Linked DNA regions of Danio rerio. The protein of the gene in region 1 interacts with the protein of each later gene in a pairwise test. Links are inferred from orthologs where the notes say so. Each region holds a gene or a part of one and is shown in the gene's direction. Other genes may lie near its edges.

Region 1 (4,369 bases):
ATCATCAGTGACTGAAACACTCCATCATTAATGTGCATCAGAGAAGAGGAAGAAATGCTGCAGGAACTGCTTTATTCATATCTGCTCACAGAGAAACTCAATGCTGCAGAATTAAAACACAAATAAGCGGATGCTCTTTCTGTTTCCTCCACCTGTGATGGAGCACGTCATGAAGAGAGAAAACCACGAGAAAACAGAGAAACTTTCTGTCTCTTCACACATGTGAGATGATTCTGGACAGTGTCGAGTGATTCAGCTTTCCTTCAGTCTGACTAAAGAGAAACAGCGGCATATTGAAGAGTGACATGATCCAGTTCAGGAGATAATTACTCAAGATTAAATCATTTATTCATAATTACATCAGTCACCATGTCACATGCACACATGTAAATATCTCACTAGTCAGGCTGATTTACACCTTTCACCTTAACCTTCACATTTCAGACCTATATTGTAAATTGATGTACAGGACATTGTTATGTACAGATGTACAGTATTGTTATATGAAAATTGTTAATATGAATATATATATATATATATATATATATATATATATATATATATATATATATATATATATATATATATATATATATATATATGAAAAATGTCATGGTTTATAATATGACAGAAAATGTATTTGTTATTTTTATGTAACTATTGTGTTTATAATACATATACGTGCATCCTCTAAGTTTTTTTTTTTTACTGATATTGTGCTCTATGTTGTAAACTAAAATATTAAATATACACATTATGCAATGTCAACAATTTTAATATTTCAGTATTCTTGTATTCACTGTACTCATGAAAGTCTACCTAAACAGCAAATGATATTAATAAAAGTGTGAATGAATCATATCAACCCAATTTTGTCAGCACACATTACGTATTGTGAACAGTTAACACGCTCAATTTTAAATAAAGCATTTAAATCACTGTTGTTTTCTTTGTAAAGTCAGCTAATTAAATTGTAATAAGCCTTATCGGAATTATAAGCAAATCTTGCTTATAAGCTTAGCATAGATATTATGGATATTATTATAGATACTATAGATATATTAATGCATTATGTCCAAACACTATAATTGGCACAAAAACAATCATCATAAAATATAAAAATAATACAATTAAAGTCATACATTTCCTGACTATCTAGGACTCATCGATGTGATCGGCGCTCTTTTCTCCCTGACATCATCGACTCTGGCATCAACACATCGTGCCTGTGAATTGCGGAAGCAGAAGTCGCTGCACATTAGCGAGTTTACCTCTTTTGTATGTAGTTTTATGTATGTTAAATGTTATATTTCTCATCTTTAATCGAATGATATACTTTTAATGACTCTGTAGCAGCAGAAGACGGTGTTTTGAGGATTAAAGGTAAGCCATTTTGTGTTTTTGTTTTCTTCTTGCTCATGTAAATATGACAGTATTTCTGTTTTCTGCCTTTATTTTTACTCTCATTTACTCTCATAGAGAAAATCTTATCTATTCTTGTTATTATTGTACAAACTGTCATCGTCAGATATTTATATAACGTTAAAGTATTTATCTAATTAGTTTGACTTCCGATTGTTTTCTTTCCTCTCTTGATTTGAAAGAAATGTTATTTTGTTTTAAAAGTAGATATACGTATATTTATTAAGTTTTTTTTAATAAAGCCGTATTTATTTTAAAACAATAATCATCTGATGACATATTAAAGAGTTTATTTACGAGTCTAAACTAGATTGATTTGTCAAAACAAATTTCAACTAAAAGGTAAGGATCTGTTACAGATATTTTATTAGTCTGTCCTGCTGTTAAGGTTTGTAGAAATCTTACTTATAAACTCACAGGTTTTTGTCAGAGAAAGTAAAAAACTTATTACATATTTCACACAAAAATCCTACGTAATGTAAGTTATGTTTGTTTGTTTGCTGATATTATTGTCTTAACTTTATTTATATTTTCTTTTTTCTTTCTGTTTTGCCATGAAAATAGCCTAACCGAACATTAAAAGAAATTATACAATACTATTTATTAAAAATCAAATCACATTGCAGACCCAAAATACTTATTAGTCATCATACATTTTCCTTTTTAATATTAATATTTTAAGGGGGTTTTCACCTTTTTTATTGGGATAGGATAGTGGAGGTTACAGACAGGAAAGCATTGGAAGCCGAGAGATGGGAAAAGTCGGCAACGGACCTCGAGTCGGGAATCAAACTCAGGTCGCCGTTAACACCTCAGTGCAATATGTCACTTAACCACTAGGCTGTTGCCGCCGACTTGCTTTTTAATTTTAACATTCCACTATCCTTGTCGTTGATCTGTAAAGATGACTTGTTCCTTTATTAATATTAGAGCTGAAAAATGATTAATCACATCCAAAATAATAATATAATTGCATCCTAAATAATGTGAAGTGTATTTACATATAGTTTATAAACTTTACAATCTATATTTGTACCTACTATGTATATGTAACCCTGCCGGTCCTACGCTACCCAACCCGCTCCGAGCTGGTATCGAACCGCGACCTTCCGCATGGGAGTCGGGTGCTCTACCAAGGAGGCTAAAGACCATGGCCTCTAGCGGCTGTCGCTAGAGCACCTTTAGAGGTCAGAGGAGTGAGGTTTACCTGCACAGCACACACTAGCTGGCCTCCGCTACACTCACCCCCTAAACCTCACTCCCAACCGGGTCACGGCACCAATGTAACCCCACCAGTCCTGTGCCACCCAACCTGCTCCGAGCTGGTATCCAACCGGCGACCTTCCGCATGGGAGTTGGGTGCTCTACCAAGGAGGCTAAATACCATGGCCTCTAGCGGCTGTCGCTAGAGCACCTTTAGAGGTCAGAGGAGTGAGGTTTACCTGCACAGCACACACTAGCTGGCCTCCGCTACACTCACCCCCTAAACCTCACTCCCAACCGGGTCACGGCACCAATGTAACCCCACCAGTCCTGTGCCACCCAACCTGCTCCGAGCTGGTATCCAACCGGCGACCTTCCGCATGGGAGTTGGGTGCTCTACCAAGGAGGCTAAATACCATGGCCTCTAGCGGCTGTCGCTAGAGCACCTTTAGAGGTCAGAGGAGTGAGGTTTACCTGCACAGCACACACTAGCTGGCCTCCGCTACACTCACCCCCTAAACCTCACTCCCAACCGGGTCACGGCACCAATGTAACCCCACCAGTCCTGTGCCACCCAACCTGCTCCGAGCTGGTATCCAACCGGCGACCTTCCGCATGGGAGTTGGGTGCTCTACCAAGGAGGCTAAATACCATGGCCTCTAGCGGCTGTCGCTAGAGCACCTTTAGAGGTCAGAGGAGTGAGGTTTACCTGCACAGCACACACTAGCTGGCCTCCGTTACATATACATTTCTGCATGTGAATATAACTGCATGACTAGATTGTAAAAGTGCAATTCCAGCGTTACAGATGTGATGCTTGCAGTAAAATCTCAAAACATAAATTTGCAGAGAAAGTATATGTTAACATTATATTAAAACATCTGTTTATATTTTCTAAAACAACTCACCACAGAGTTACGGGATCAGAAAAATACAAATCTGTAAACATGCTTTATATTTTAAATGAGGAAAATAAACATGCGCTATGGATTTGACTAAGCATGGGCCGGTATAGATTCTGACAGTATGATAACCTTGAATAAAATTATCAGTTTCACAGTATTGTGATTACTGCTCTTAAATATGGTCTCTTTGAATGTCTGGGTAAAAAAACAAAAACTTTTTTCCCCTTTTAAACACAATATATCTTATTTTGAGATTTGAGAAACATTTAAAATATTTTGCAGAAGTAAACATGTCAGACTGAATATTAGTATGAATATTATATGAATGTTTGGTCATTTATTCTATATTAAAAATGAATTACTGACTTCTGCTGTCTTCATTAGTTTCAAACGCACAGACTTCTTTACAATTTAAAACCGCATCTTTGCATATCTTTTCTGATGGAGATACTCTTGTCCTAAAAAAAAAAAAAAAAAAACATTTAAAAAAAATCTTACACATACCTTTGGAATGGTGTTACAGTAAATGTTGTCGGTTTTAAAATCTTGACTTTTCCAAACCGCGGTTATACCTTGAAAATGGTTAACCTCCCATGCCTCGATTGACCAAAAAAAGTCTGGGAGTTTACAGTGCACAACACACCTTGTAGAAATACTGTGAATTAAACTGCACAACCCAAAAGAAATAATGCTAAGCATAAGAGTTGCTCTCCATTGAACAAACCTGATTGATTTTAATTTATTGACCTTTTTTGGATTTATGAGGGAAAAGCTTTGTTATGGATGTGAAATTGGCACTTGTGTGACTTTGGTAAATCAAATATAATTGTTTGAAAACA
Region 2 (3,834 bases), on another chromosome or scaffold:
AGCGGCTGCTAAATATGCATATGGTGCCCTTGGCAGGTTAGATTCAGTATACTTGTATCCATTTATAAGGCCTTGATTCTGCATGGTATCAAAAAGAAATTAGACAGAATACATTGTGAATATTTATAACCATACATATATTTATATATCAGTATCAGCATATATTTATCTATCAGTATCTTCTATTATTTATAATAAAAAAAGAAACTTTTTACTCAAACACACAGCAATAAACTGCAAATTCTGAGACACTGAGTATATTCTTAGAGAGAATTGTCTCTTAATTTTGTTTATATATTTACATGTCTGTTTTTCATGTTGGATGTTCTCCTTCAGCTCTGCTCCTGCTGTTCCTCCTGATGCTGATCTCCTCCTGGAGGTGCAGCTGTTGTCTGCTGATGAAGCCCTGGACCTGGAGCTCATGCCACCGTCTGAGAGGATCATTCTGGCCAACAGGAAGCGAGAGAGAGGAAACGTCCACTACCAGCGCGCCGACTATGCCTTTGCTGTCAACTCGTATGGAATTGCACTACAGATAACTGAAGCAAGTTCGAGAGGTAATGCTCCTTAAAGTCCATGTAAATCGGAAGTTGCTGAGACTTTTATTTCAGTGTGTTGATGTACTGTAACGGAATATTGATTAAGGGGCGGGGCTTTCTTTTTGGTCTTCATTTCCTTATAGCAAACTAACGGTAAAGAATATTGTAGGTAAAACGGTCAAACTGATGTTAGAAGTGAAAAGAGTCACTCGAAACACAGATCCTTTAATTAAAAACTTTCATTGAAGATTACTAAAACAAACTTTTTTTAAGTGGATTAACTTTAAGGATTAATAGTTCACCTAAAGAATAATAATGTGCGGTACCCAAATAAACATAAGGGTACTTAAGGGTATCGATTTAGGTGACCCGTTTGGTTTGATTAGACTCTTATTCACAAGCTCTCGATTTGTTTTCCTTTTAATTGAATACATTATTAATAGAAATGCTGTTGATATTCATTAAAAAAAAATCAGTAAACACTATTTCAGGTAAGCAATTAATGCCTAGTTCAGACTGTGTGATTTTAGCCCCGATTTTAGCTCGCTGACAGGTTTTTTAGAAATCGCCGACAAATGCCTGAAATCACAGGCAAATCGCTGCTCGTGCACGTGAGTGACAATCACACAGTATAAACTATCAAAGACGCGATCTGAGAAAATCGCAGATGAGTCGCCGATGCCTGTGAGATATTTGGCATGCTAAATTTCTGGAGCTGTCGGCGATTCAAATCATGCTGTGTGAATTGAGTTTTGACAGAAAATAACATCAGCCATCGCCTACAGCCAATGAGAGAGCAGCATTCACTTGTGTGTGCGTGTGTGTATACCTGCTGCAGGCCGGCGGGAGGCTGGGGGAGAAGTTAAAAGCGCTCTTTTTCGGTTTATTTGGACCCACGAAATGGAGGAAAAACTAGTGGAGCTTTGAAAGGACTCAGGAGCAACCGTGTCTGTTTGACGTTTCATACAGAAAAAATTAGTTTATTATTAACGTTCAGGAGAAATGGCTAATTCCCTTTAAACTGAGGTAAGCAAACATGTACATGTTCTACCCCATTAAAGCCTTCTTTCTCATTATGTAGTTAATAACAAAAGATATACGACATGTTTTTGGCTGTGAGACGTAGTTTGGACGAAGTTGTCGGCGGTTCTTCCTATAGTAAAGTCATGCAATATGAAAGTCCCTGTCGCCGATCCATCTTGCAGTGTAAACAAAGCAGCGACGAAACGCTAGCCCAGATAGTCATGCAGTGTGAAAACATCTGTGACACGACTACTTTGAAAATCATGCAGTCTGAACTCGGCATTAGACAATAATCAGACTTTGATTGAAGATTACCAAAACAAACCTTTCTTTTCAAGTGGATTTACTTGACAAATTAATAATTTACCTAAAGAAGAATCCAGCAAAAAATGACTTAATCGTATCGATTCAGATGACCCCTTTGATTTGATTCTGATTCGCAAGCTTTGTATTCAATTTTACATTGAGTACATTTTAAATACTAATGCTGCTGATATTCATAACAATTATCAGTTAACACTTTATTTTAGGTGCATGTGTAAATTAAAACAGAATTTCAGATGCATGAATTTTAGTCATAATATGAAATATAGAAGGGGTTTTCAAAGTCGGAGACAAGGAATTTTATTCTTTTTATTCATTTAACTTCGTATTTTGTAATTATTCTAAATAAAACACAGCAATGAAACATATTTAGTCAAGAGCAGTGAATGTTTTATTTGTATTTTGTTATTATTAATTAAAGTTAATATTATAACAGGCCTCGAAATCAACTTTTTTACTTCGTAGTGCCAGTGCTTCCAACTTCATATATTTAGGAGCACCAGAAAAAATTTAGGAGCACCCACGAAAAATGAGTGAGCACCACTGCATATTGTATTTTAAAAGATTTATTGTATTTGAAAACAACATCAATTAGGACAAACAAAAAAAAACAGAAACTGTCTAACTAATGCTGTGATTACTTATTAATATTTGTGCAATAACTTCAAAACGAATGAATGATGACGAAAATGACAATAATACTAGCAATGAATTACATTTCTCATTATCATGCTGTCTTGAATGTGCTTGAATGCAAGTTATTTGCTATCAAAAGTCTGTTACATTATGAAAAATAAATATATGAATTGCATTTAACAAAAATAAAGCATTGCAGTAAGAAATATACAGTTTGCACTATTGTTTTAATATGCATCTCAATTTAATAAATAGTATTTCTGCAACAAAACAAATGAAAGACTATAATAAATCATTCAATTAAATGCTGAAATTTGCAACAGTTTTTTTGTTAGTAACTAAATAGAAAAATAAAAAAAACATCTCAAGAAAGAATGGACAAAAGAAAGGAAGAAAAGTCTCAGTTCTACCACTCTAAAGGTTTTGGTTTGGGTTTTTGTCATTTTAAATGCTCAGTCTCGTTTTGCACTGATTTATATTTTACTTGATTTATATCAAGTACTGATTTATATTTTATTTTACTGTTTACTTTTTTACTCTTCAGCCGTTTGCATTTCCCATGGTCACAAAAGCTCCCTAACATCTGACAGCAGAAAGCCTTGAGTGATTGACAGCTAATATGAACCAATATAGCGGCAGGGAAGAGCGATTCAGCATGTCTTTAGAAAAAATTCTAAACAGGTCACACTATCCCCATTACATGCAGAGCACAAATGCTCCCAAATATCTTATGAGGTCGCATAGATTAAATTTCAGGCGCATATGCAACGAAAATGCTCGCAATTTTGAGCCTTGTATTAATAACTGCATAATATAATATATATAATAATTATTTATTAGAGATGCTCCACAACCAAAATTCTGATCTGAAACTGAAAAATTCTGGGTGCACTTGTCTGAAAACTGAAACCAAAGATGCTTTGTAACATTCATTTATTCATTTTCTTTTCGACTTAGTCCCTTTGTTAATCTGGGGTCGCCACTGTGGAATGAACCGCCAACTTATCCAGCAAATGTTTTACGCAGCGGATGCCCTCCCAGCTGCAACCCAACACCGAACACATCCATACCCACTCATTCACACACCACCCTCATACACTATGGTCAATTTTAGCATACCCATTTCATCTATACCACATGTCTTTGGACTGTGGGGGAAACCGGAGCACCCAGAGGAAACCCACACGAACACGGGGAGAACATGCAAACTCCACACAGAAATGCCAACTGACCCAGTCGAAGCTCGAACAAGCGACCTTCTTGCTGTGAGGCGTACGTGCTACCCACTGCGTCATCTGGTTTGTAATAATGA

Evidence for each region.
Region 2: the proteins of zfyve27 (region 1) and fkbp8 interact in binary tests that used the Homo sapiens proteins (3 or more experiments, as listed by UniProt). The link is inferred for Danio rerio from reciprocal best matches to the Homo sapiens genes ZFYVE27 and FKBP8.

What each region holds. Positions count from the first base shown.
Region 1 is NC_133176.1:58,370,560-58,374,928, forward strand, and holds the start of zfyve27 (protrudin), read left to right. Parts: upstream 1-1,255; 5' UTR 1,256-1,383; intron 1,384-4,369. UniProt on the Homo sapiens protein: Key regulator of RAB11-dependent vesicular trafficking during neurite extension through polarized membrane transport. Promotes axonal elongation and contributes to the establishment of neuronal cell polarity.
Region 2 is NC_133197.1:20,749,574-20,753,407, reverse strand, and holds part of fkbp8 (peptidyl-prolyl cis-trans isomerase FKBP8), read left to right. Parts: coding exon 1-36; intron 37-336; coding exon 337-557; intron 558-3,834. UniProt on the Homo sapiens protein: Constitutively inactive PPiase, which becomes active when bound to calmodulin and calcium. Seems to act as a chaperone for BCL2, targets it to the mitochondria and modulates its phosphorylation state.